7 linked regions of the Macaca mulatta genome follow. The protein of the gene in region 2 purifies or fractionates together with the protein of the main gene of each other region. This does not show direct contact. Links are inferred from orthologs where the notes say so. Each region holds a gene or a part of one and is shown on either strand. Other genes may lie near its edges. The genes, in order: BAZ1B, SMARCA4, CREB1, PRMT5, TOP2B, HNRNPC and SS18L1.

Evidence for each region.
Region 1: the proteins of SMARCA4 (region 2) and BAZ1B fractionate together in Homo sapiens (co-fractionation; 3 studies listed by BioGRID, with this or other methods). This does not show direct contact. The link is inferred for Macaca mulatta from reciprocal best matches to the Homo sapiens genes SMARCA4 and BAZ1B.
Region 3: the proteins of SMARCA4 (region 2) and CREB1 purify together in Homo sapiens (affinity purification with western blotting; 3 studies listed by BioGRID, with this or other methods). This does not show direct contact. The link is inferred for Macaca mulatta from reciprocal best matches to the Homo sapiens genes SMARCA4 and CREB1.
Region 4: the proteins of SMARCA4 (region 2) and PRMT5 purify together in Homo sapiens (affinity purification with western blotting; 3 studies listed by BioGRID, with this or other methods). This does not show direct contact. The link is inferred for Macaca mulatta from reciprocal best matches to the Homo sapiens genes SMARCA4 and PRMT5.
Region 5: the proteins of SMARCA4 (region 2) and TOP2B fractionate together in Homo sapiens (co-fractionation; 3 studies listed by BioGRID, with this or other methods). This does not show direct contact. The link is inferred for Macaca mulatta from reciprocal best matches to the Homo sapiens genes SMARCA4 and TOP2B.
Region 6: the proteins of SMARCA4 (region 2) and HNRNPC purify together in Homo sapiens (affinity purification with western blotting; 3 studies listed by BioGRID, with this or other methods). This does not show direct contact. The link is inferred for Macaca mulatta from reciprocal best matches to the Homo sapiens genes SMARCA4 and HNRNPC.
Region 7: the proteins of SMARCA4 (region 2) and SS18L1 purify together in Homo sapiens (affinity purification with mass spectrometry; 3 studies listed by BioGRID and IntAct, with this or other methods). This does not show direct contact. The link is inferred for Macaca mulatta from reciprocal best matches to the Homo sapiens genes SMARCA4 and SS18L1.

The regions. Positions count from the first base shown.
Region 1 is NC_133408.1:50,958,442-50,962,194, forward strand, and holds part of BAZ1B (tyrosine-protein kinase BAZ1B), read right to left. Parts: intron 2,300-3,753; coding exon 598-2,299; intron 1-597. UniProt on the Homo sapiens protein: Atypical tyrosine-protein kinase that plays a central role in chromatin remodeling and acts as a transcription regulator. Involved in DNA damage response by phosphorylating 'Tyr-142' of histone H2AX (H2AXY142ph).
Region 2 is NC_133424.1:11,723,558-11,727,310, reverse strand, and holds part of SMARCA4 (SWI/SNF-related matrix-associated actin-dependent regulator of chromatin subfamily A member 4), read right to left. Parts: intron 3,450-3,753; exon of another isoform or gene 3,447-3,449; 5' UTR 3,419-3,446; coding exon 3,197-3,418; intron 2,292-3,196; coding exon 2,159-2,291; intron 1,380-2,158; coding exon 975-1,379; intron 652-974; coding exon 553-651; intron 1-552. UniProt on the Homo sapiens protein: ATPase involved in transcriptional activation and repression of select genes by chromatin remodeling (alteration of DNA-nucleosome topology).
Region 3 is NC_133417.1:112,842,640-112,846,392, reverse strand, and holds part of CREB1 (cyclic AMP-responsive element-binding protein 1), read right to left. Parts: intron 3,525-3,753; coding exon 3,374-3,524; intron 1-3,373.
Region 4 is NC_133412.1:96,009,842-96,014,035, reverse strand, and holds the start of PRMT5 (protein arginine N-methyltransferase 5), read left to right. Parts: upstream 1-1,206; 5' UTR 1,207-1,230; coding exon of another isoform or gene 1,231-1,340; 5' UTR 1,341-1,366; coding exon 1,367-1,425; intron 1,426-1,973; coding exon 1,974-2,092; intron 2,093-2,377; coding exon 2,378-2,463; exon of another isoform or gene 2,464-2,545; intron 2,546-2,917; exon of another isoform or gene 2,918-2,948; coding exon 2,949-3,083; intron 3,084-3,774; coding exon 3,775-3,887; coding exon of another isoform or gene 3,888-3,907; intron 3,908-3,987; coding exon of another isoform or gene 3,988-4,021; coding exon 4,022-4,071; intron 4,072-4,194. UniProt on the Homo sapiens protein: Arginine methyltransferase that can both catalyze the formation of omega-N monomethylarginine (MMA) and symmetrical dimethylarginine (sDMA), with a preference for the formation of MMA.
Region 5 is NC_133407.1:22,870,431-22,874,183, reverse strand, and holds part of TOP2B (DNA topoisomerase 2-beta), read right to left. Parts: intron 2,946-3,753; coding exon 2,835-2,945; intron 1-2,834. UniProt on the Homo sapiens protein: Key decatenating enzyme that alters DNA topology by binding to two double-stranded DNA molecules, generating a double-stranded break in one of the strands, passing the intact strand through the broken strand, and religating the broken strand.
Region 6 is NC_133412.1:94,116,585-94,120,926, reverse strand, and holds the start of HNRNPC (heterogeneous nuclear ribonucleoproteins C1/C2), read left to right. Parts: upstream 1-1,390; 5' UTR 1,391-1,562; intron 1,563-2,191; exon of another isoform or gene 2,192-2,237; intron 2,238-4,342. UniProt on the Homo sapiens protein: Binds pre-mRNA and nucleates the assembly of 40S hnRNP particles. Interacts with poly-U tracts in the 3'-UTR or 5'-UTR of mRNA and modulates the stability and the level of translation of bound mRNA molecules. Single HNRNPC tetramers bind 230-240 nucleotides.
Region 7 is NC_133415.1:114,967,573-114,971,249, forward strand, and holds the end of SS18L1 (calcium-responsive transactivator), read left to right. Parts: intron 1-1,081; coding exon 1,082-1,296; 3' UTR 1,297-3,070; downstream 3,071-3,677. UniProt on the Homo sapiens protein: Transcriptional activator which is required for calcium-dependent dendritic growth and branching in cortical neurons. Recruits CREB-binding protein (CREBBP) to nuclear bodies.

The sequences.
Region 1 (3,753 bases), on a different chromosome or scaffold from region 2:
TAAGTGAACTAATTATACTGCATGTTGATTATTTCTTAATAAAGCTGCTTTTTAAAAGTTCAGATTTGATGGTGCCATCAAAGCCCAAAATTTTTAAGTTCTTAAATCTTAAAGGACAGATTACTTAAAGGACAACTTAAAGGACAATCTGAGTTGGTGACTGTGCTAGGGGCTTCAAATATCCTGTCAACCAATTTTACAACAATCTTATCAAGCATATGAGGAAAGTGAGGCACAGGTAAGTAACTTGCCCAAAGGAACATTGTACAGCTAAGTCAGAGCTAGGATCTGAACCCAGGTCAGTCAACTCCCGAGTCCTATGTTGTTTCCACTATGCTTATGTGTAGATTTGGTCCTTTATTGAACCCAGAAAAGATGCCAACATCACACTAACTTATTAACTAATCAGAATGCCAGGCTGAACACTCCAGCTAATATGAAATTATCAATAGAATAAAAAGTAAAATACATACCAATAGGTGCCAGGTTATTACATACAGAAATAAGTAAACAGAGACCCTACCATTACCTCAATAATTTCCTTTCTTTTACTATCTTCTACAGAGTTTCCCCTTTTCTCTCAGCATGAAATTTTACCTTTCATTTCTCTTTCCTGGATTTCCCGTTCCTTCTTAGCTTGAATGGCAAGCAACCTTCTGCTCTTCACAGCACTAATCATGTCTTCAGCTTCTGTATCTACTTGGGGCTCAAACTTCACAATTTCTTTTTTCCTATCAGTTTTGCCTAACCCATTCTCCACTTTTCCATTTTCTTTATTTTTGGCTTCCATTTCTTTCCGTTTCTGTTTCTCTGCTCTCTTCTTATCATTTTCTTCCTTCAACACAGCAAGCCGCTCCTTCCACAACTCTGCAGACATCTGCTGCCTGGTCTCCATGTGGTCTTGCACAGAGTATGTCATGAGGATCCGGTGGCACAGTGCTGTCAAGATCTGTAACTTCTCTTCTGACGTCAGCTCAAAAAATTCAGAGGTCTCCAGCTTTTCTAGGAACTCATCTCGTACCTCATTATCCTCAAATGCAGCTGAATCTTTATTGTCATCTGTGTCTGAGCCCTCGCTTTCCTCCTGAACATCACATCTACGCAAGCAGAGCCGCACCAGCTCTGAAACAGAATGCAGAGTCAAGGGGATTTCCGACAGCTTCATTCCCAATTCACCATAGTCTTCTGCTATCTCATCTTGTAGTAGGGTCTGTAAGAGGATGACCAACACCCTATTAAGGTATAAAAAGCCACCCTTATCTGCACTCAAGGCTTCCATAAGGGACACAGCAGTAATAGGATACTGAGCATCTGGTAAAAGTAGCCCAGAATAACAGCTCAAGAATTCCACCACCATGGCCACATCCCCAAACAGCGTGTTGGGCAGCCCTTCAGGGGTATCCACCAATCTGAATGGTGGAAGGTTTTTGCCAGTTAACTCTTGGTCCTCATACCGCTTCTGTTTTTCTAATCTCTCAAGCATTTCTTTCTCTCTTCGTTCTTTGGCTTTTTCCTTCAACTTCTTTTTCAGTTCCTCCCGTTTCTTTTTCAAATATTCTTTCCGTTGCTCTTCAGACATAGAAGCCCACCTCTTTTTGTGCTCTAGAAGTTCATAGCGTTTTTGAACAAGACTTCGCAATTCTTCTGGGAGACGAGCTCTATCTTCACTAGACAGAAGACGAGCTGTTTTGGAGATAACACAGGACAGGGCGCTCCTCTTGTCCTCCCTGTCTTTATTTTCTTTGTAGTAGGCAATGAGGTGTAGGGCTGCAGGAGGCAGATGTTTATGAGGTTTACTAGAGGACCTAGGTGTACTCCCAGAATTCCGTGGGGTTCGCGTCATCTTCTGTGTACCTTTGGCCATATCCAACAGAGTCATCTGCTTCATTTTGGTTTTAGGAGTCTTCAGTCCCTTTTTGGGAGATTTGGAATTCCCTGTGGATTTCTGTCCATTCAGGATGCCTTTGCTTCTGCCCTTTGCCTTCAAAGGCTTGTCACTGTGCTTTCCTGGTTTCTTGGCAGGTGGGCCTTTTTTAGGAATGTGAAAGTTAGCGTGCAGCTTATTGGGCGACATCATCTTCATCATTTCTTCTAGATGTTCTTCAGGAGATTTGGAATTCTTTGAGTTCTTCACTTTGAGTGGCGAGCCACTCAACGACTTCTTCAAGTGTACGTGACACCATAACTTAGGATTTAGTGGTGAACTAAGAGAAGAGTTGTCTGTCTTGGATTTCTTTGAGGGCTTCCTGTCTGGGGATCCAGTATTCTTCCTCTTAGTAGAAGGGTTGAGAGTCATATACTAGAATTTAAGAATAGGAGCAAAATTAATTTTAAAATCTAAAACTAACTTAAGCAACATTTAAGCATCTTAAAGGCCCTCTTCCCCAGCTATTCAGGTAAAGCTACATATTCATATCTCTTCATAGATACTTTGGCCCTGAAAAAAGCAAAGACATGAACGTTAGCTAAGGTTTTTTACTATGTCAACACAAAATTCCCTTGACATCCAGACTTAATATTAGACATTTCTGCTATGTAACTAGTTCTCTGTTTATATATATTAATGGTTCTTAAATATTTAAACAAAATCTGTGAACCCCTCCACCAGAAATATTAGACAAAAACTACGCATACAATTTCAGAGAATCCATCCATGGACCCCAGATTAAGGATATATGATCTACAAAATGGCAGTATCTGAAAAGTTTAAAATGCACTGTTCTTGAAACAAGAATGAATTTTCATCCTTTCACTGTTGGTTACTATTCAGGGCATTTTACGCTTTTAAGCAGAAATGATACTGCTTAAAGTACTTTTGTCTAAACTCTAAGGCACATTTTCTGATAAAAGCAACAATTAGTGTAAGAACATGAACACTGCTCACAGATAAAGACACCTCCTGACCTGGGCCTCAAACTCCCCTTTGTTCTCACCCCACAGTTTTTTTTTTTTTTGAGACGGAGTTTCGCTCTTTTTGCCCAGGCTGGAATACAATGGCGCGATCTCGGCTAACCACTACCTCCGCCTCCCAGGTTCAAGTGATTCTCCTGCCTCAGCCTCCTGAGTAGCTGGGATTACAGGCATGCGCCACCATGCCACATTACTTGGCCACCCCACACTTTTAAGAACACATTCTGGTGGGCGCGGTGGCTCACGCCCGTAATCCCAGCACTCTGGGAGGCCAAGGCAGGTGGATCACTTGAGGTCAGGAGTTGGAGACCAGCCTGGCCAACATGGTGAAATCCTGTCTCTACCAAAAATGCAAAAATTAGCCAGGTGTAGTGGCGCATGCCTGTCACCCCAGCTACGCAGGAGGCTGAGGCTCGAGATCACTTGAACCCAGGAGGAGGAGGTTGCAGTGAGTCAGGATCACGTCACTGCACTCCAGCCTGGAGGACAGAGCAAGACCCCCGTCTCAAAAAAAAAAAAAGAGAATTCATTCCCATCACCAATTTCACACCATTCTCCTTTGAACATACCCTCTTATCTTCCAAATCCACTCCCTCTAGTCCCGCAACTCTACAGTCCTTCAATCTCACCAGAACCTTAAACCCATTAATTTTATTACATTTTCACCACCCTAACCCCCATGTCTTGCTTTACCCAGATTAAATTTTAGTCAATCATGATAATTAATCTCACATAAACCTATAGTTCCCTTGTCTCTCTTATTCTACTTGGAAAAGCCATAACCCTGATTGATTAACTCTATTTACTCCTGCCCTGCATATGTTCAGCTTAAACATGGCTAAA
Region 2 (3,753 bases):
CGCCCACCTCCCACCTCTCACCTAGGGGTGTCCCTCACACCCGCCTTGGGCGCCAACCTCCTCCAGATCTCAGCCTCACCCTTGTCCCTCACACCCTTCACTGGGGCCAGCCCCACACCCCTGAGGCTTCAGTGTTCTGTCTGTGGCTCTACAGCAGCATTTCCTGTCGTCTCCTCCCAGTGCTAAATCCAACGGAAGCAATTTGCCCTTCAATGCCCATCGCTAAACCTCAGGCTCCAAGAGGGTGGGTAATGAGTCCCACTGTCTCTTTGAGCCCACCAGATGGGAGCCTGCAGCACTTACTGAGCAACCACATATACAGGGCTCAGGGACTGGGTGAAGGCCACGAGGGATGGGATAAAATGACAGTCATTGGGAACTGACTGGCTACAGGGGAGACCTGGGGACCACCACAAGAAAAGTGCAGGCTGCGGTTCGGGCTGGCCACCTTGGCCCTTCCTCCCTGCCAGGGCTCATCTCAAGGCCTGCGCCACCCAAGCTTGCAACGGGGAGTCAGGGCATGGGTGCACCACCATAGAAGAGGGAGCTCACCTTCAGGCCAGGGCTTGGGAGGCCCTCCAGGAGGCTGGCCCGGCATCCCAGGGGGCACGCCTGAGGGTCCTGGGGGGGGCATGTTGGGCCCTCCCATACCTACACGTAGGGAGAAACAAACAAAAGAGAAAATAGTGCTCCCCAGGTTTATGCCTGCGCCCAGCCCCGTGGGCAGCCCTGGCTTCAGGGGACACAGCAGATACACCTATTAACCAGCACCCCCAGGGGAAGCAGGGAGCTGGGGAAACAGCATTTAGCAGGACAGCTGCCCCCACCACCCGAGCACCCAGAAGTGCAGCATGGGCCCGTGCAATCCCAAACCGGGGAACCCAGTTGGCAGCAGAGCCCAGTCTGTCCACTCCTCCACTCACGCCCCAGCCATTCACTCTGAGACACCTGAGGGCCAGGGCAGCCAGCCTTACCATGAGGCCTGCTGTAATTTGGAGGTGCCGGGCCGGGACCGGGGCCAGGGCCAGGGCCAGGGCCAGGGCCAGGTCCTGTTGCGGACACCGAGGGTGGAGGTAGCGTTGGCATCTGCTGCTGCATCCCAGGCATTGGCCGCTTGCCCTGCACCGCCATCTGCAGGTGGTCGGGGAGGGGCTGCCCCCTGGCCAGCATCTTGTAGGCCATGATCTGAGCTCTGAGCTGGTGCAGCTGGTTCTGGTTAAATGGGGTTGGGCCCCGGTTCTGCTGCCCCAAGGCCTGGGGGTCAGCACCATCCAGCGGTGCCCCTCCTGGTCCGGAAGACATCTGGGGGCCTGAAGACGGGCCACTGGCTGGAACTGGACTAGAGGCATGCTCAGAGCCACCCAGGGGCGAGGGGTAACCTGCAGAGAAAGGCCAGCCCACTGGTCACTAGGCAGCCTACGTCTGTGATTTTTACAACTTCTTCCCTACACCAGCTCCTACTCTGAGACAGGGCACGACCAAATGGCATCCTTCTTGAGTCAATCAGGGGCACCTGGAGGGCACGCGCTGGAGACACCTCAGCCCAGTAGCCGGCATGGTGGATTTGGTTTAACCCACGTCTCAGTAAGGTGCTGCTGGTTAATGCTGAGAACCTGTGCATGAAATCACGGCTCTCTCCCGGCCTCCGCCTGCTTGTCCACAGGTGGGGTCCACATCTTCGGGCTGGCTGGGCCCGCTCCCAACATTTCCATTCCCAGTGGAGCCCCTGAGCTTCCCACCCCTGATGACAGCAAGAACTTGGCAAGTCACCCACCATATCACTTCTCAATTGTCCTCGTACAGAAAAGGCACCTGCTGGGCTCATTAAAGCAGAGTCCCAGGCCCTAGGAATCTGTATTTTCAGTAAGTTCCTCAGTGGCATGGGGCTGCTGCCCTGCACAGCCGTCCTCTATCACCCATGCTGAATACGGTCTGCCCCCCAACCAGCACTTCCCCTTCTGGGGCTGCTCCAAGACGAGGTGGCCAGAACAGAGCACCAGCCATGCCACGCCAGACAGCCCTCTGTGGCAGGCCACCCACCTGGCTAAATCATCCTAGGTACTCCCGGAATCCATCCTGTGGGAACCCAGGGGAAGAAAATGATCTGAGGACTCTGGTGTATGACAAACACAAGACAGGAAGGAAAGCAGTTTGGTACCTTGGGAGTGCTGGTCCATGGGGCTGGGCGGGGGCCCCATCCCAGCGTGGCCCCCTGACCGCATCCCCATTCCTTTCATCTGGTTGTAGCGCGGGTCGTCCGACATGCCCTTCTCGTGCATGGACTCCATGGGCTGCGAGAGGGACCATGACAAGGCAGGGTGAGCATGTGGAACGTGAGGTGGTGGCACGGCTATGCGCTGCCCAAGAGAAGCTCGAGGGCACTGAGAATGGCCACCTATGACAACATGCATCTCCCCAGTCCCCAGCGTTACTACACGGCTTGGCTCTAAGGCAGGGTTCTGACACCTACTTAGGCCTCAAGACAGGTACACAAAATAAATGTCACCCAGTGGAGCACGAGCACCTGGGAGACTGTGGCCAGGCAATCCTCATCTTCCACCACCCAGGACCTCCTGTGGCCCCGACACTTAGAAACATCACTTTTCTTATGGATGCTAATACGACCTTTTCTTTCAGATGTTGTATGTATAAGAGAATATGTCCTCTAACCATGCCCAGGGACACACACAAGAGACTTGTGACCATACAGAGGCTTCTCCGCCTCGCTGACTGAAGGTCCTGCTCAGCGCAGGTGAGTGGTAAAGAGAGTGGCTGAGGGGCGCGCCTTGGAGAAAAGGGCACCCGCTGCTCGGCTCTGCGAGCGGCACAGGTGAGCTCGACAGCCAGAACGGGGGAAACAACGTGGCTAAAAGCCTTTTTAGTAATTTGGATGTTTTTCTTCGTTACCAAAAGAAAACTTTGGAGTGATATTCCCAAATTTCCCACGCAGAAAGCAAGGGAGCGGAAACGGTGGGGCAGGTGTCCGCAGGGGCCACGATGTGCTGCTCAGGCCCAGATCATGTGCCAGCACAGGCTGGAGTCCGACGAGCTGACCCCTCTGTTCACGGCCATGGGCCCCGGCGTAGGGGGCTGAGCCAAGGCATGCCACCTCCAACAAGAAGGCTTCCCCCCCGTCCTCTGAGTAAGGCCCTCGGTCCAGAGGCTGCCTGCAGCCCTAGGGGGCAGGGGCCCCTACCTTGTGCATCTGGTGCATGTTGTCCTGAGGGTACCCTCCAGGCCCCTGGGTGGGGATGGGGTGTCCTGCTGAGGGCGGCCCCGGGCTGGGCCCCATCATGCTGTGGGCGGAGCCCGGTGAGGGACCCGGGCTAGGGCCCAGCATGGCTCCAGGGGAAGGGCCAGGGCCCGGGGAAGGACCCGGCCGAGGAGTTCCGCCCAGGGGTGGGTCTGGAGTGGACATCTTCACGGGAGCTGCAGACAGTGGCCTCCTGCTGGCAGAAAGTCCCAGTCAGTCTGGGGTTCACGACCCAGGGTGAGGCAGGACAGGGATAGCAAGGGACATCAGAATCTCCTTCCGACAGGAAGCCAGCACCTTTCACCCCAGTCACCTGAACCTTTTCTTCACGACCACTCTCAGAGGAAGTGCAACATCTCAGGCACAGGTGGGCCACGCTCACAGACAAGCACTGCCCCACAGGGACCTTCAGGGTCTCCTGCCATATTCCTGATCACGGCAGAGAATGTCTCACCGGGATGCTGGTCTACCCTTCACACTGCTCTCCACTTGCTTATCTT
Region 3 (3,753 bases), on a different chromosome or scaffold from region 2:
AATATTTTAGCAAAATGAACATTCAAGGAAAGCACTCCACATTCACCCCCTAAGGCTACATACACATCCCTAGCATACTGCCATGTGCTCTGGTTTGAGAGGCACAGCAGAAGATGGCTGCATACTGGAATCAGTGAAGTAGCATGTTTACAGCCTTTGGTGCCAGATATGGGTTCAAATTTCAGTTCTACTAATCTCATAAAGTGTGTGACTTTTGGCAATATATTTGATTTATCTCTGATATTTACCTTCTCCTCCTCTAAAGTGTGGATAAGCTTCTACCTCACTGTAGGTAGAATTAATAAAATAATATATACTGGGGCTTAATAAATAGCACTCGGCAGAAAGGTCAAAGCCAGAATATATAGAATTAGGAGGTATCAGCATATAAAGTAATGCCTGAAATACATGGATATGGATGAAGGTTCAAAGGAAAAATTTGAAAAGTAGTCAGAAAACCAGGTGAAGCCAGCCAAGGAAGAGTTTAGAGTAATGAGAAGTCGAAAGTGTCATACTCCATAGAGTTAAAATTAAATGAAAGAAAATACTAGATTTGCCAAGTGGGAGGGAATTTGTACCTTTTTATAGACATATGAGGGGTATGCTAGTCACAGAAGCCAGATTCCAGTGAATGGAGGCTGAAAAAGTAGAAGCAGCAGTAATCTGGTAAGGAAAGGGGAAAAGAACTATAGCAGAATCAATAGGAAGTTTCCTTTTTCAAGAGTAGGGTAACTACATCTAAGCGAAGTAATGTTATGAAAGAGTCCATGGTAAGTCTCAGGCAAGCAAAGGCTGGTAGCAACTGTAGTTACGTGTGGCCTGTTCCTAACTTGTTGGTGGCAGTGGTCCTAAATCTGAAAGAAAAATAAATAGAAGAAAAAGGAAATTTGGTCTGCCAGTCAACGCAGTGAAACTTTTTTTTTTTTTTTTTTTTTTTTTTGAGATGGAGTCTTGCTCTGTCGCCCAGGCTGGAGTGCAGGCGCCCGATCTCGGCTCACTGCAAGCTCTGCCTCCTGGGTTCACGCCATTCTCCTGCCTCAGCCTCCAGAGTAGCTGGGACTACAGGCGCCTGCCACCACGCCCGGCTAATTTTTTTGTATTTAGTAGAGATGGGGTTTCACCATGTTAGCTAGGATGGTCTCGATCTCCTGATCTTGTGATCCGCCCGCTTCGGCCTCCCAAAGTGCTGGGATTACAGGCGTGAGCCACTGCACCCGGCCAACGGGGGGAAACATTTTGTTCCACAGAGCCAAACTACATAGACATAAACAGAAGTCCTTCTGTTGTGTTTTATAATCAAAAGGATTTATTTTCTGATTTTGCTCCTATGTTTGCTTAGAACTGTTTTCTTTAGTAAGCAGTGTTGTCTTAAATATTACTACTCAGCCTTTGCTTGAGACTTCTTAATCAGACTTGCTTCTAATTTTAAGTTAAGAGTTTCCTTATAACCGGCCGGGCACGGTGGCTCAAGCCTGTAATCCCAGCACTTTGGGAGGCCGAGACGGGCGGATAACGAGGTCAGCAGATCGAGACCATCCGGGCTAACACGGTGAAACCCCGTCTCTACTAAAAATACAAAAAATTAGCCGGGCGAGGTGGCGGGCGCCTGTAGTCCCAGCTACTCGGGAGGCTGAGGCAGTGGAATGGCGTAAACCCGGGAGGCGGAGCTTGCAGCGAGCTGAGATCCGGCCACTGTACTCCAGCCTGGGTGACAGAGCGAGACTCCGTCTCAAAACAACAACAACAACAAAAAAGAGTTTCCTTATAAACATTTTTAAAAACTGAAAAGATTTTAATTTTTATTTACAGATTTTAATTTATATTTTAAAATATATTTAAATTATGAATGCAGCCTTTATGCTTCTGTTTAGTAAAACCTAAATACTCAAAATCACAGACGGATGGAACACAAATAAAAGTCACTTGAGGGCTGGGCACCATGGCTTATGCCTGTAATCCCAGCACTTTGGAAGGCTGAGAAGGGTGGATTCATGAGGTCAAGAGTTCAAGAGCAGCCTGGCCAAAATAGTGAAATCATGTCTCTACTAATACAAAAATTAGCCAGGCGTGGTGGTGGGCGCCTGTAATCCTAGCTATTCGGGAGGCTGAGGTAGGAGAACTGCTCGAACCCAGGAGGCAGAGGTTGTAGTGAGCTGAGATTGTGCCACTGTACTCCAGCCTGGGCGACAGAGCAAGATTGTCTCAGGAGGAAAAAAAAAAAAAAACAGTCACTTGGCTTGTTGTAACTCTTTTTCTAATATCAGAGAAAAATCTCTGCCAGACAGATTTTTCTCTGAGTTCAGATATAATTTACTAACATTGTGACAGCTAAGAATATTTTAGGAACAAAAAAGCTGATCTGAGCTGTAAGTGAAATTGCACACACACAGACACACACACACACCCATTTCAACAGAGCACTACAGTTACAAAGTGCTTTCAAAGGAATTATCTTACTTGACTCTTAAAACAATACTTGGGTGTGTGCTGGAATCCCATTTTGCAAACCTGAGGTATAGAAAGTTAATACTGTCTCCCAAAATGGAGGGACAGGGCTAGGACTTGGAAGCCCTGCTTCTTTCACTTTATCAGTGTTTGAAGTATCCTGGGATGAACAGTGAAATACTTTCATCAATTTCAAACTTTTTAAAACTTTACATACCCTATTTTCATTTTCTTCTGTTTGTCTCGGTCACTTCTATATGAAAGTTCTAAACTAATATTTAGTAACTTGTTTTTATTGTTTTTGATGGCAAAATCATTTATAGCAATGAAGTTACTTTCTGAGAACTGCTTTACCAACATTTCGTAGATTTTGAAGGTAGTAGTTTTTGAAGACTGTATTTTAAGATTTTTTTCCATAATGTGGTATTCTTAGAATATATTTTTGAAGAATCTTTAGGTGTTAAAATGTTATTATTTTGAGTAAAGATATTATTCATTAAAACATGAACTGGCCACCATACATTTACTTTGTATCAAGTAAATTTAATATAGATAAAATTTAACACACAGTTAATATACATATGTGAAACTCTTGATCTTCTTGAACAATACTATATATGAAAAGAAACCATTTTGAAATAACCTGGCAAGCTGGCTGGAGTGCAAACATAGGAAGGTTGTGCATTAAATCTCCTGTGGGGAAACTGCATGAAAGAAAACTACTCCATGATCAAAGATTGACCCATAATCCTATAGCTATCTTATAAATGCAGCTCATTAAATAAAGTTTACAAGATCCATTAATTCTGCTGGGAAAAAAAAAACCCAATGCAAAGATCCTATTACCAGTAGATGTAAAGATACACATCCAGTAGAAAGTGAAGACACACTTAACCCACAACAATCTAAGTAAATGCAGTATATGTACCTGTTCTTCATTAGACGAACCTCTCTCTTTCGTGCTGCTTCTTCAGCAGGCTGTGTAGGAAGTGCTGGGGAGGATGCCATAACAACTCCAGGGGCAATAGTGCTAGTGGGTGCTGTGCGAATCTGGTATGTCTGTACATCTCCAGAGGCAGCTGAAAGAAACAGTGATTATGGTGTAAGACAGAAACACTGCAACTTGATTCAATTATGTGTATCAATCATCAATCTAAGCATGTATTCTGGACTAAAAGGGAAACAAAAAAGAAAAGATGATTCTGGCTAAAGTGTTGAAAGAATCAGCACTCTTTGCGCCACTACTAAGAAATAATTCCCAATGTAATGTATTTATTACAGTAACCTATGTCTGCTGGATCTTGTATT
Region 4 (4,194 bases), on a different chromosome or scaffold from region 2:
CTATTACACAGCGCCCCCTAGACGTTCAATTCAGCATGACTAAACCCAAACCCTGATTTCCCAAACCCTCTTCGCATTTCTCGCTCACTGCAGGGACAGAATCCTAGGCATCACCCCGACTGCTTTCTCAGGACTCCCTGCCAGTCGGTCCCTAAGTTCTGCCAGCAGCGCCTGCGTGGGGCCTCTTGTACCGTGTTCTCCTCTCCATCCTTGTTGCCGAGCTGCCTCAACACCAGTGGGCCCCCTGCCTTCAGAAGTTCCCATTTCCCTCCCCTATGTCTTTCCTTGCTTCCTTCCTTTCCATCTCTCTAGCAGCTATTGACATGGGAAAATGTAGATTCTCTCTGGCCTCCACGCCAGCCAGTTTCATGACTGCTGCCCACTGTAATTCATGAATTCCTTTTCTCTATCTTGAAGTGTGTGTGTGTGTGTGTGTGTGTGTGTGTGTGTGTGTTTAGGCGTTTATTCAAACCTTTTGTGTTTGAAACACAAAACACTACTTCCTAGAATCACTAGGAAGTAGCTGAGTTAGCAGTTTATTTTAATATGTAACATAATAAGGTGACAAAGCCCATTTTAATAGCACCAGCCATTAACCCAGTTTTCTCAATGTTCATATGGACGTAAATAATGACACAAGGAAAACACTTTTGAAGGTAGTTATGGGAAAAGCTGACATTAGATGGCTGCAGAACCCAACCAACTTAGGACCTGAAAATGAAAGCGTTAAGATAATAAAGAAGCTTCAAACGACGAAAGGTAAGGAAAATCAGAAAATGCTCATAAAGTAAAATTGTGAACAGCCCCACCGAGCCAGCCAGGAGTCGAACCTGGAATCTTCTGATCCGTAGTCAGACGCGTTATCCATTGCGCCACTGGCCCTGAGACGAAAGTGATTTTCTCCGTGATCCTCCTTCAAGGTTGTACTGCAGGGTTTCATGGGAGGTGTAGTCTCATAGCGGAGTTCTGCAGATACACTAAGCATTCTGGGAGATTGAAGTTCGTCTGAAACCAGACTCTGAGATTGGTGGATCTTCAGGAGCCTCGCCGTACGCCACTGCGCAGCCCGCGGATTGGCGGGAAAAGCCACTCCCCATCCCTCCCGTTCGGGAGCTGTGGCAGACGCTCTGGTTGTTAAGGCGACTCGTCCCGCCTCCTGGGTCTCTAGTTTGGCTTTGTGATTGGCTACTAGTATCAAGGAATCCCGGCATGGACAGCGCGAGGAAAAAGATGGCGGCGATGGCGGTCGGGGGTGCTGGTGGGAGCCGCGTGTCCAGCGGGAGGGACCTGAATTGCGTCCCCGAAATAGCTGACACACTAGGGGCTGTGGCCAAGCAGGGGTGAGGGCCGGACCTCCACGAGCGGAATGCGGGGTCTGAACTCGGGGACGGAGAAGGGCAGACTAGTCATCCCGGAGAAACTGGGGTGAGGGGGTCGGCTAAGATGAGAAGGGGAGAGACTATTACTCTTTGGAGGGGAGAAGCCTCGGACCCAGTAACGTGAGGAAGAGAACTTGTGGGGGGCCTGTGGTCACTGAGTCCCAAAGTTGGGAGAGTTGTTGAGTAAACTCTAAAGGGCTCTGGAGGTCGCGATTATTGTCTGGGAGTGGGAGGAGGTGTTAGGGGGCAAGGGAGAGAAGAGGCTAATCTTGACAGGGGAGGCACGGGCAGAACTGGGGCAAATCTGGATGTGATGGTCTTCGAAACATAGTGACACCTGAGGAGAAAAAAATTCTACTTGTGGATTTCCATCGTTTTCTCCTTACTCATATTTCCCATGGCTGTGTTTTGGGGAGAAACTGAGGCACAGTACAGCAGAGATATCCCCCAAGGTGGTCTGAACTCAGCAGCCTAGTAGGGTGAACTGATGGCAGCTGAAAGGGCTGTGCAAAATCAAAATAGCCTAAATCCAGTTGCTTGGCTTTCTGGCACTGCTGCTCTCTTTACATGATTCTGGGTCTGTCGCGGTTGTAGGTTTGATTTCCTCTGCATGCCTGTCTTCCATCCGCGTTTCAAGAGGGAGTTCATTCAGGAACCTGCTAAGAATCGGCCCGGCCCCCAGACACGATCAGACCTACTGCTGTCAGGAAGGGGTAGGGACCATCCCATATGCCCCTTAATTATTAGAGGCAATAACAACTTCTGCTTTATCGGGGCCCCGATTCTTCTCCTTTTCTGACTTGGATATATTTGTTAGTCCCTGGGATATAGATAACTTGTTTTCTCCTTGCTTCTCTATTCTGCATCAGGCTATCCCATGTCTATGTAGAAAAAACCTTTGTCTCTCATTTCTACTCTTGATTCCCAAAACTAAAAATTGAACAAGTAAAGTGCTGAACCTTATTCAGTATTTGTCTCTCTTGGGTGGGGGAGTGCAGACTGGAATACGCTAATTGTGGGAAAGCTTTCTCCATGGATTCGTCCAGACTCAAAAGTGGAGAAGATTCGCAGGAACTCCGAGGCGGTAAGACTCTTTGACTTCTATGCTGGATCTTTCTAACCAAGCTGGGTAGGGAGAGTGGTCCCCTCCCACCCCCAATAACTTGGTAAATCAACTGATACAATGAAATTAAAGCTATTAGGCTGGACCCCATGGTGCACACCTATGATCCTATCACTTTGGGAGGCTGAGGTTGTAGGATCACTGGAGCTCAGGAGTTTGAGACCAGCCTGGGCAGCATAGTGAAACCCCATCTCTATAAAATATACAAAAATTAGCCAGGCATGGTGGCACATTCCTGTGGTCCCAGCTACTCAGGAGGCTGAGGTGGGAGGATCAGTTGAGCTTGGGAAGGTTGAGGCTGCAGATGAGTGGAGATTGTGCCACTGTACTCCAGCCTGGGTGACAGAGTGAGACTTTGTCTCAAAAAAAAAAAAAAAAAAGAAAAGAAAAGAAAAGAAAGCTATTTGCTTGTTAGCTCAACCTTTTCCTCTTCATCTCCATTCCAGGCCATGTTACAGGAGCTGAATTTTGGTGCATATTTGGGTCTTCCAGCTTTCCTGCTGCCCCTTAATCAGGAAGATAACACCAACCTGGCCAGAGTTTTGACCAACCACATCCACACTGGCCATCACTCTTCTATGGTATAGCTGAGGGGCTCCTTTCCTGCTGCATATCATAGTAGTCAGATTGTGCTAAGTACCTTCTTGTGCCTAGCCATTCAGTGAAGGGTGTGTTTGGCAGAATTGAAGTATCAGTATTGCCGGGCACAGTGGCTCATGCCTGTAATCCCAGCACTTTGGGAGGCTGAGGTGGGCAGATCGCTGAGCTCAGAAGTTCGAGACCAGCTTGGGAAGCCTGGTGAAACCCTGTCTCTACAAAAACCAAAACCAAAACAAAAAAACACAGATTAGCTAGGTGTGGTGTCACACGCCTGTAGTCCCAGCTACTTGGGAAGCTGAGGTGGGAGAATGACTTGAACCTGTGAGACGGAGGTTGCAGTTAGCTGAGATTGCACCACTGCACTCCAGCCTGGGTGACAGAGCCAGACCTTGTCTCAAAAAAAAGGTCAATATTGCGCACCTCTCCATCTAAAAGTGGTATGAAGAGAGTTTCAAAACATGCAAATGTAATTATTTCGGAAACTTACGTAAGATAAGGCAGATATTTACATAAGGATCTATACATAAGGTACATGTTCACTTACAAAATCACAAATTGGGAAAAGCATATAAAGGGATTAGCGAGGTCTGAATGAAGTTTTTGATTGAGGGAAACTTTCTGGACCGAGTGAGTTCAAAAGGGTGTTCTAAAAGGGTGACTGTTCATGTGCAGTTCTGGATGCGGGTACCCTTGGTGGCACCAGAGGACCTGAGAGATGATATAATTGAGAATGCACCAACTACACACACAGAGGAGTACAGTGGGGAGGAGAAAACATGGATGTGGTATGTCTCCCTTTGCTGCTGTGATAGGGTGAGGGGAAGTACAGGGTGAAACCTATAGGGAGGTCTCCTTGAGCTATGGTGATTGGTCGGCCGTATCTAGTTGACTGTACTTTTCTGTATTTGACTCTGAACAGGTGGCACAACTTCCGGACTTTGTGTGACTATAGTAAGAGGATTGCAGTGGGTGAGTCCATGAGAATCCTGGGTTGGGTGTTGCTTCTCTGACCTCCTGTGAATAAGATTCAGGAATTTTGTATATAGTATACAATTTTACTACTTACCCTCTGTCTCAGACTGCCTTTCTCTT
Region 5 (3,753 bases), on a different chromosome or scaffold from region 2:
CTTTTTATTTAATTATGTATAATTTGCCCTTAGGTAATACAATTAAGACATTTTAAGGAAGAGCCATTAAAAATAAATTAAGCAGTAACTTTTAAATATAGTCATGACAAAAGAGTAGCATATTTGATAAATTAATTATAACCCAAGTATAACCACAGATCAAGTCCTTTTAGAATGTTTTAGAGAAAAAAAAAATGTATGGGATCCTCAAATACAATGAATAGAAACCAACTCACTTCCATTCAAAAGCTGAAATCCAGAGTTGGCATTTTTATATGGAAAGAAATATAAAGTCCTAGATAAGTAGACAATAGATACAAGGCCTTTGCTTTGTTGAATTTTGAAAAATAGACCTTGTTTTACAGCTTTATCTGCAGTTCTATGTGAAAACTGATAAATCAGGCCAGTTGCAATGGCTCACACCTGTAATCCCAGCACTTTGGGAGGCCAAGGCAGGCAGATTACCTGGAGTCAGGAGTTTGAGACCAGCCTACCCAACATGGTGAAACCCCATCTCTACTAAAAATACAAAAAATTAGCCCAATGAGGTAGCGTGCGCCTGTAGTCCCAGCTACTTGGGAGGATGAGGTAGGGGAATCGCTTTAACCCAGGCAAGGGAGGTTGCTGTGAGCCAAGATCAAGATCATGAGCCAAGAGCAGGAGGAGCCCTAGGAAAGTGGCACCCATATTGTGTGGTTTTTCATGACTATATCTACCACAAGAACCACAGGGCAGCTCCCGGCAGGGAGTATAAACTCAGCCAGGTGTTCTAGGAACCACTTTTTTTCCTTTGCTTGGAGTTACATGGCACTTTCAATTTACCAGGCAAACAGGTCAGATATCTGAGTACTACAGCTGCCTTTCTGCTGTAAACTACAGAATTTAACTTGTATAATATATGCAATTTGGAGTTAACGCAGACAATCCCACAGAGGGATGTCATGCATCCTCTTCTTGAAATGATATTTTAATTGGAATTGTATTTTGTAAGGGAGACTAGAGGAAGGTCGAGGACTTGCTGGGGTCCCTGAAATCACACCACACAGGCAGTCACCTATTCAACTTAGACAAGGCCAGTTCAGCTATTAAAGAAGGAAGCAAGTAGAATAGGTGCCATGATATTCTAGCCTTTTAGTCATGCTAAACTCATTAGGTTCAATATGGGTGAACAGTTCTATGAAGGAAACGGGGTATGTTTCAATAAGTAATATGGCTCCTAAGTTTTCAGGGTGTTTATAAGATGCTCATATGAAGATTATTTTAAAAAGATGTTTTTTGATTGTTCTGTTATTTGAGATGGAGTCTCACTCTACCGTCCCAGCTGGAGTGCAGTGTTGCCATCTCAGCTCACTGCAACCTCTGCCTCCCGAGTTCAAGCGATTCTTGTGCCTCAGCTTCCTGAGTAGCTGGGACTACAGGCATGCACGTGCCACCACACCAGGCTAATTTTTGTATTTTTAGTAGAGATGGGGTTTCGCCATGTTGGCCAGGCTGGTCTCAAACTCCTGAACTCAAGTGATCTCCCTGCCTCGACCTCCCAAAGTTCTAGGGTTACAGGTATGAGCCACTGCACCCAGCCTGACTGTTTTTTTTAAAAAAAAGAGAAATTAGAGGGTCTATCTCAATTTGGGTTCCCCAGATTTGGGCCAATCTGCCTAATCCTAGAGTAAGGATTTAAGTATAAGTATTTATTTGAGAGGTAAAGGAAAGGGAGACAAAAATGAGACAACGAAGAGAAGGCAGCCAGTAATGGGTAAGTTATCAAGCCAATCATCACTCTAGGAGCTTAATTCCACGAGAAATTTTTGAGAGCCAGTGTGAAACACACATCTCACAGTTGGCTCACATGAGAGGCAAGGACACTGAGATATTTACAGAACAACTTTCCTCAATCCACTAGTTAAAGGCAGCTGGGAGCAGGGGAGCATTAATATTCCAGCACAGTGGCAAAGAGGAAGTCCTCAGGCAAAGAATGCAGACATTGCCCAATGTGCACTAAGTGGTAAGGGCACTGGGACATGAGTAGGTCACTCAGTGTGTTGGCTACAGAGACTCTTGTACATAACCAATTTCTCAATATGGTTCTAGTGCAGTCAGAGTAAGCAGGACTTTCCAAAATTGTTCTACTACATTCAATACATGTGTGACTGTAATGAGGTTGTCTGTTGTGAATTTTTAAAATCCTTGAGGGAACAATCCATATTATTTACTTGCTATCTTAAGTAGCACACATCTCAATTAGATTTGTGGGGTTTTTTTTTAAGTATCATCCTTCAAACACAAAGCACAAATACTGACCCCTTTCAGAAAGACCAAGGTACATATATCTTGGTACTAGTAAGAGATCCATTAATCAACTCAAAGTGTTTTGTGGCCAATCTAAGGCTATGAAAAAGAGAGAAGCTGCATGACTCACATAGAAAAAGAGGACCTCCACTGAACTGATCAATCCCTCCACATAAGGAGTTGAGTAATGATCAACAAAGATAACAGAAGCAGGCTACTAGCAAGACAAAATTTTAATCTCCATTACAACCTAACCACAAGGGAGCTTTTCTAGAAAGCTATCTTTAGATATCAATGTATGGGATTATTTTATAATTACAACAGCTTTAAAATGAAGTCTTAAAGAAATTTTATTAATTCCCTCACATGGTTAGAATTTTATTAATTGCCTCACATGGTTAGAAAACAAGAGAGGTTCTCCTTGTAAGCACTTATAGTTCTTAATTGTTTTATGATAAAAAATGCAAATAGTTTGAAATTAAGTTACATTTCCTTTTACATTAACTATCTCTATGCAATGCTTAACTCAATCAAATATAAGTACATACCCTTTTTAGCAGCTACTGTTTTACTTGGAACTTTATCTATCTGTTTCAGACCAAATGATGGTGAGAAAACAGAAGCAGAATCTTCTTCATTACTGTCAAATTTAGCTGAATCTAAAAATTGCAAAGCCTTCTTTTAGTAAAGAGATATTATAAAGATCTCTCAGTAAACTTTGACTCTTAACTGATGACTTCTCTTTAGCTAGACAATTGATCTTATGTTACTATTATGTGACCAGATAATCCACAATATACAAACAGCAGAAAATAAAACATATCAGTTATACACCAAAAATGTTAACTCTGTGGTGAAATAACACAGAAGTGCATAAAGTAGTAAAAATTAAAAGTACTAAATGTTAAATATTTAAAACATAACTGACCAATTCAAAAATACATGCTGACAATTTATTTTAAAATGAGATATGAAAATGTTCCACTGGATTATTTTAGTACCTACATAAATAATACTATTAACCATTTCAGGAATATCAGTAACAATGTTTACATCTAAAAGAATAGTAAGTATTCCTATTTTAAAATAAATTATTGAAGACTAATTCAAAAGGCAGACAGGCTTACCTTCAGTTTACTTTTGCATGCAAATTAGTTTAATCAATCCGTTCTTCCCTAACACCATAGCACAAACTTTTAAAATAGCTACTTGGATGTAAATAAATATGTTTATACAACTCTTTTGACACACTGTCAAAAATGAGTATCTATACATATGGAACATGTACCAAATATGTCTAAATGTATAGATGTGTGTATTAAAAAATGACCGTGAATAAATTAAATAACCTTAAAAATTCCATACAAAAAAAATATAGGAAACAAAAAGTATATACACCAATTAAATTTGTTCTTATGAAGGTTTTGATCTCTCAGGTAACTAGGGTTTAGTAAAACCAATCTGCAA
Region 6 (4,342 bases), on a different chromosome or scaffold from region 2:
GCGATATGCCGGGCGCGGTGGCTCAAGCCTGTAATCCCAGCACTTTGGGAGGCCGAGACGGGCGGATCACGAGGTCAGGAGATCGAGACCATCCTGGCTAACACGGTGAAACCCCGTCTCTACTAAAAAATACAAAAAAAAAACTAGCCGGGCGAGGTGGCGGGCGCCTGTAGTCCCGGCTACTCGGGAGGCTGAGGCAGGAGAATGGCGGGAACCCGGGAGGCGGAGCTTGCAGTGAGCTGAGATCCGGCCACAGCACTCCAGCCTGGGTGACAGAGCGAGACTCCGTCTCAAAAAAAAAAAAAAAAAAAAAAAAAAAAAGGAGCAGCGATAGGACACCGCGGCCGCCAATCAACCTCAACTGGAGGCAGTTGCACTCCAGCCTGGGCGACAGTGACTCTGCCTCAAAAAAAAAAAAGAAAAGAAAAGAAAAAAGAAAAAAAAAAAAAAAAGAAATGGCTCCCTTAGTAGAGCTGATGCTAATCCACTGTGTGCGCAGTTCCTATAATGTAACCAGAAGGACTGGCAGGTGACGGGGGTACGTAGGAGACAAGCCATTTTAAGAGGAGGGAAATTAAGGGAGCAGATTCGGAGGGATGGGCCAATTTTACTGGCACTTAAGATATTAGTGAGATGACTTGGGCCAGAGGCCGGGATTTTGCACTTCATTTACTTTTCATATTGGAGAGGAATAAGGAAGTCAGTTGGTTTGGATGGAATATGTGTTGTCTGAAGAAGGGTTTAATAGGCTGAGAAGCAGAGATGTCTACGAGGTAGCTGACATTCGAATCTGGACCTGAGAAAGGCTCTCGGGTTGGAAAAACGGCAGGGCTGGTTAGTTTTCTACACACTTTAACACGGCCTAGTCACCGCTGCTCCCTCCTCATTTTAAGTAAAGTTCTTTCTTTATTCATATTGCACGCCGGAGGCTTCATTTCGCGCTTTTTTTCTCCTAGGCCCGGGGCTAGGGCAAGTCCTTTGCGCCCGTCACCTAACAACGCCCCTCAAGCCCTTCCCCGCCCCCGCGCCGCCGGAAATCCGAGGTCTGAGCGAACCTTTTACTAGGCACTCTAAGGAGCAGCGATAGGACACCGCGGCCGCCAATCAGGCCTTCCAGATACCCGGATGTGAGACGGTGCGCGATACAAAGGCGAGTTTCCACCCAGAGGGTCGTCCGGTGCAATAGCCAATAAACATTCCCCAGACGATAAATGACAGGAAAATTAACCAGTTACAAACTAGTTTCTCTCACGCATGTGGAAATTCTTCTGCTTAGTCTAACCCACTGCCAATTGTGACTGGATATCATTGTGAGAAGCGGTTGAACTGTCTAATTAGGAGCGGGAGCGAAAAAACACACAGCCAATAGGAAGATTCTTAGGGATGGGGCGGGGACTAGGCCTTCGCCTCGGCGGCAGAGGAGACTCGGGGGCCATTTTGTGAAGAGACGAAGACTGAGCGGTTGTGGCCGCGCTGCCGACCTCGACCTGCAGTCGGTTTCTTCACGCCGAATCCGGGAGTAGGAGACTCAGAATCGAATCTCTTCTCCCTCCCCCCTCCTGGTAAGTGGAGAGGGCGGACGCAGGGAAGGCGCTGGGTTTTTTGGGAAGCTAGAGGGGGTGTGGGAGAGAATATGAGGGAACCCTTCCCCCTAACTAACCGGGCCCTCATTTATTCTGTTTGTTTTGGGGGATTAGGTCTGAAGCGGGAGGCGGTTTTACAGGCCTCAGCCTCTGCGTAGGTTTAACCTGGTGTCCTCTGGGCCACGATCGCCAGGGAAAATGCCCTTTTTTCGCTCTTCCTGTGTTAACGGCTGCTTTCCTTTCATTTTCTACGACCGCGAGGACTCCGGGATCCTGAAAATGAAGATCGCGATGTTCATTAATATAGTCGAAGTTAACATAGCGCCGATGCCTTCTATTACCTCGGTTCTTCTTACATGTAAAAATTGGGGGAGGGGGAGGGGGAAGGTTACCAAGTAGATGTATCGCGAGCCTTTAAATCCTGGATCGTGCCGCGTGGCCTATGAGAAAGGTTTAACAAAAGATTTAGCATTTTACTGATAACTTTTTATTTTATTCCTCTCTATGAGCAAATAATGGAGCTCGAAGTAGTTATTTTCACTTACGTTTGTAAAAGGAAATATTGTGTATAACTATATTAATAATTACAGCTGACTTTTCATCTGCAGGTTACAAAACACTTGAAATATATAAGTTAGTGGAACTTTGCTTGAGGTAGGTATTAACTCTCTTTCTCAGACAGAAACTGAGGCAAAGTGTTGATTGCTAGGGTCATAATTAAGTCAGTAGCAGAACTACTAAGGAATTTGACCACGAGGTCAGTCGAGTGGTTTTTACCTGGTTAATGGAATACCGGGTTCTAAAAGTACAATATTTGAATCTTTGCAAGAACCTGATGACGGAAACCACGAGGTAACTGGAAATTCCCAAATTGCGCTTAAGAAAAATACTACGAGACTTGAGAATTTGTTGTTAACGTAACTTCCTAAGTGTAAGATGACAAAATTTGACTTTCGGGTTATTCTGATGTTAATTTTCCCGTCCACCTAAACTTGGGCAAAAATTCACAGCTACATTTTATTAAGCAAATATTAACAGTGCTGTTATTTGCTCGGTGCTGAAATTTGATAAAAAACTTGTAAGTTAAAGTTACAGATCTTTAGTGTCACGTTCACTTATCTGGGAAATCGGTTTTTTAAATCCTCACATGAGATTTGGTTATTTTTTACAATCTGTTAATTTCACAAAAACTAAAGCTGTTAAGCACAGTTTAAACCAATTCTGCCGGGTAAGAAATTTATCTGTAAGGCAACCTATTTGATAGGAAGTAAAATAAGGGTCAAAAACATCGCGACCCCTTTAAGTTTAAATATATTATTACAGGAACTTAAAACTAAAGTTTATCATCGTGCTAAACTGTTAGAAATGAGGTAAAGGCAAAAATAGATTAATGGGGAAATCATGTAGTAAAAATGTTGGCAATGAGAAATGTCAGAAGTTAGTATTTAAGAACAGTTGATAATAGCTGAAATTGATTGACAGGCACTTTTCTTTGCCTTTGAGGTGTTAGAAATACGGGTTCCTTCCGATCAGTATGTATATCAGATCAGTATGTATATCAGCGTACCAAAAATTCTTTAATATCAAGAACTGTTTGCCACGGCATTTATATCACAATTCCAGGTGTGTTCTCAACTGGATAGGCATTTAGTAACATTTTCGTATTGGCTAGCGTATTGGCTAGGGGGAAAAGTTGAAGGATGGCCAGGTTGCAGGTTTTCTGACCTTTTTTTCCCCCCATTCGTGTGCCACTCTTGGGAATACTTGGTAGTTGATGTTCCTTCTGTGGAGAATTTAAACAGCTTACGTTTGTAATTAAATCTCTTAGAGGATTTGACATGGCATTCGACCTTGTTTTGGATGGAATGGCAGTGCGACACAAAGAATAAACTCAAATAGCTAGTTGCTCTAATTTTAAAGACTAAGGGGCAAATTATTAAAACTTAATATTAAGTGTTGAATGTGAGGTGTTGAATAGGGAGTAAGTTTGCCTAGGAGGAGAAATAGATTTTAATCCTCCTTGCTTAAATAAGAGGACTTAGACTTTTTTTTTTTTAACTTATTTGAATTTTTAGTTTCTAATTCAAATTTTTCGTTGCCAGAAGACTAAAAACTGTACAGATGCAGTCTTTTTAAAGCAGTTTTTTTTTTTTTTTTTTTTTTGAGACGGAGTCTCACTGTTGCCCCAGGCTGGAGTGCAGTGGCACAATCTCGGTTCACTGCAGCCTCTGCCTCCCGGGTTTGAGCGATTCTCCTGCCTCAGCTTCCCAAGTAGCTGGGATTACAGGCGTGCGCCACCACGCCGGGCTGATTTTTATATTTTTAGTAGAGACGGGGTTTCACCGTGTTGGTCAGGCTGGTCTCACTTCTGAGATCAGGCAATCCTCGTGCCTCCGCCTCCCAAAATGCTGGTATTACGCAGGTGTGAGCCACGGCACCCGGCCCCAGTTTTCTAAATTAGTAGTAGTTACTACTATTCTTAACCACATTATTTCAGTCTTCAAATAATTAGTAGTTGTCTCTGGGGAGCATTATTTGCTCTTAATATGCATATTCTTGTATTCTCATTGGAAATGGGAAGCTTTTGGTTTTGTGTATACTACATTTACTAGAGGATTGGTGAGAACTAGAAAGTTGAGGTGTGGCATAACTACAGGTTTTCTCGATATTGAAAAATTTGGATTTATTAACGTAAGAAATTTTGGTTTCTTAACCAAAGAAAATTTATTTTTCTTTAGTTAATAAGAAAATCTTACAAG
Region 7 (3,677 bases), on a different chromosome or scaffold from region 2:
ATTACTTGAGGCTCAGTGTGGTGGGTCATGTCTGTAATCCCAGCACTTTGGGAGGCTGAGGCAGGAGGATTGCTTGAGCCCAGGAGTTCGAGACCAGCTTGGGTGACATAGTGAGATCATCTCTACAAAAAATACAAAAATTAGCAGGGCATGGTGGCACACTCCTGTGGTCTCAGCTACTTGGGAGGCTGAGGCAGGAGAATCGCTTGAGCCTGGGAGGTGGAGGTTGCGGTGAGTCAAGATCACACCACTGCACTTCAGCCTGGGCTGGGTGACAGAGTGTGACCCTGTCATTAAAAAAAAAAAAAAAGGCCGGGCGCGGTGGCTCAAGCCTGTAATCCCAGCACTTTGGGAGGCCGAGGTGGGCGGATCACGAGGTCAGGAGATCGAGACCATCCTGGCTAACACGGTGAAACCCCGTCTCTACTAAAAAATACAAAAAACTAGCCGGGCGAGGTGGCGGGCGCCTGTAGTCCCAACTACTCGGGAGGCTGAGGCAGGAGAATGGCGTAAACCCAGGAGGCGGAGCTTGCAGTGAGCTGAGATCCGGCCATTGCACTCCAGCCTGGGCGGCAGAGCGAGACTCCGTCTCAAAAAAAAAAAAGGCCTCTATCGTATCAGTTCTTTCCGGAGCCTTTGACTTAGGCTTCCTAGAGACGGTGCCTCTGTCTCACCTGCCTGCAGGTTTCCAGCAGCTCCTGTGATCATTAAGTTACAAGTTGCAGCAGCCAGTGTGACTGGTGCCAGTGGGTTCTGGAGGGCTCTCCTGCCCTCAGGTAGCAGCAGCTCGGGGGAGATGGAGAGAGCCCATCAGCCCTCCCCATGCTGGTGGGGGCCTGGGGCACCGTCCTGGGACCTCACAGGACTGGAGGGGCTGGGGAGTCGGTTGTGTGGTGCTCTCGCTGTTCAGAGTTAACGAGGAGCACGTGCAGGTGCCAGGCGTTCTGGAGATTGACAAAAGGCTGATGCATTGAGACAGGAATTTTTTAAGGAAAAGAGGAAGAAGCTTTTAGAAAATTTTTAAGTTAAAAAAAATAAAGATGCGCCCGTTTTGGCCTCACAGTTCCTGGTGTTTTCTCAGGGCCTGCCCAGGGAGCCCCGTCACAGTACCCCAGCTACCAGCAAGGCCAAGGCCAGCAGTACGGAAGCTACCGAGCACCGCAGACAGCGCCGTCTGCCCAGCAGCAGCGGCCCTACGGCTATGAACAGGCAAGCTTTCTGGATGTTTCCAGATGTGCCCATCCACCGCGCCTGTGGAGACATAATGAAGATTTCTCTTATGGCCGTGAGGAATAATGAGCTGGAACTAACTGGCTTCCAGGGTTCCTTCCAGAATGTTAAGTCTCTGAGCCTGTAAGGTTTTTCAGAATTACCTCTGTGTATATGCTCACCTCAGTCATCCAGCTGGCTTTTCATACCCTGAGCTCACCGTTAGATCTGCATGCCTGGTTCTCACATTCGTTCACTCTGCCAGTGTTTGTCGCGTACTGGGCACGTGTCCGGTCTCTGCTGGGTGCTTGGTGTGTGGCCGTGCCACGAACCCTGCGCTTTCAGAGCTTATTATCTCGCTACGGAGACATAAAGTTGTCCCATAGGCCAGACCGTGCTGAGATCAGAGTGGCGGGCCCCGAGTGGAGCCCGCCTTCCAGGTGGGGGCACAGGCGGCTGCATTTGGCCCCTGTGGACAATTCCAGGATGAAGACACAGCGGGGAGTGGCAGCCCCAGGCTCAGCCCAGGGAGGGGGAGCCCTTTCTGCCCAGGAACAGTGAGCAGGGCTTTGAAGGAGCTGAGGAAAGAGAAGCTTGGAAGATGGAAGAGCGGGAGCTCTTGGGACAGTGAGGAGGCCGGCTTGGCGGGAGGTGACAGGGACAGGTGGGCGTGGGGGCCTCCATAAAGCAGGCATCGCCTTCCCTCTGGAGGAGGACAGGGTCTGTGTGGCGGGAGCACTGCAGGAGCGAGGGCCTCCTAGAGGAGAATGAGCCAGGCACAGGAAGAGGGCGTGCCAAGGTCCTGAGGCACCGGGAGGTTTGTCCCAGTGAAGGCAGCCCGAAGGAGGCTCGGTAGCTGGAGCATGGGGCATACGAAGGAGAATGGTCTTGGACATTTTTTGGAGCCTCCTTTGAGAGAGTCCTTAGCAGGAAGTGGGTCTGTGTTGGTGAGTCTGAGCTGGCCAGAGGTGTTAGGGACACTTTACACCGCCAGTGAAATTTCAAAGCACTACGTCGATCAAGGTTGTTTTTCTCAGGGAACTGGGTAGGTAAGAGGCCGAATACTATTTTTTAAATGCTTCTCGTCCTCCTCCCTCAAGAGGGCAAAGGGTCACCAGGTAGATGTAGAGAAGCCTAAAGATCATGTAACACAGGCCCCCTGCCAGGGCACAGTACTCAGAAGGTCATGCCTGGGAAGGGCACGCCGATGAGGCATTTACACAGACGTTAGGAGTGCTCCTGGTGTGCTCTCAGGACACCGTGAGGCCACTGCAGCCGACGCCAGGGGCCGCCTCTCCCCAGTGTGTGCTGGGCGCCGGTCAGCGGGGAGCAGGCCCCAGCTTGGCCCTCTAGGCTTGCACAGGAGCGTCATGCTGGGGTCTGGAAGGACAGCAGTCTGCATCCAAATTAGAATTAATGATTCTGACGAGACACTATACCTCCTTCATACAGTCCTGAAAATAACTTACTTGGATTTTGTGAAATAAGTGAATGTCCTAACTTAATTATAAGACTGAACCAGAGGACATATAACTTTATGCCTACCTATGAAAGGACCGTGACTGGTTGTGGTGGCCCATACCTGTAATTCCAGCACTTTGGGAGGCCAAGGCAGGAGGATTGCTAGAGCCCAGGAGTTTGAGACCAGCCTGGGCAACATAGCGAGACCTGTCTCTACAAAAAATAAAAAAAGTAGTCGGGCATGGTGGTGCATACCTATAATCCCAGCTACTTGGAAAGCTGAGGCAGGAGGATCCCTTGAGCCCAGGAGTTCGAGGCTGTAGTGAGCCGTGACTGCACCATTGCACTCCAGCCTGGACTATAGAGAGCAAGACTTTGTCTTAAAACAACGAAAAAGAAAGGCCAGGTATGGTGGCTTACACCTGTAATCCCAGCACTTTGGGAAGCTGAGGCTGGTAGATCACCTGCAGTCAGGAGTTCGAGACCAGCCTGGCCAGCATGGTAAAACCCCATCTCTGCTAAAAATACAAAAATTAGCAGGGTGCCTGTAAGCCCAGCTACTCGGGAAGCTGAGGTGGGAGAATCGCTTGAACTGGGAAGGCAGAGGTGAGCTGAGATCGCGCCACTGCACTCCCGCCTGAGTGACAGAGCGAGACTCCATCTCAAAACAAAGAAAAGAAAAGACACAAAGCAATGGAGAAGACAGAGAATTCCACATTTAGGGGGAAATGTGTCCATCTAACTGCAGAATATTAACATAACATAGTCTTTAGTCAGAATCAAGTGTAACTGGCCATGGCGTTTTGGCACAGCACTGCCGGCGTTGGGCGTCTCCTAGGGGCCGTCGTGCACACGGTGTTATGTTTGCAGCATCCCTGGCCTCCACCCACGATGCCAGTAGCACCCCCGTTGCCCAGTCTGACAATTTAAAATGGCTCCAGACATTGCCAGATGCCCCCCAGGGCAAAATTGTCTCCATATGAGAACCACTGGGCTACACTTAAAAA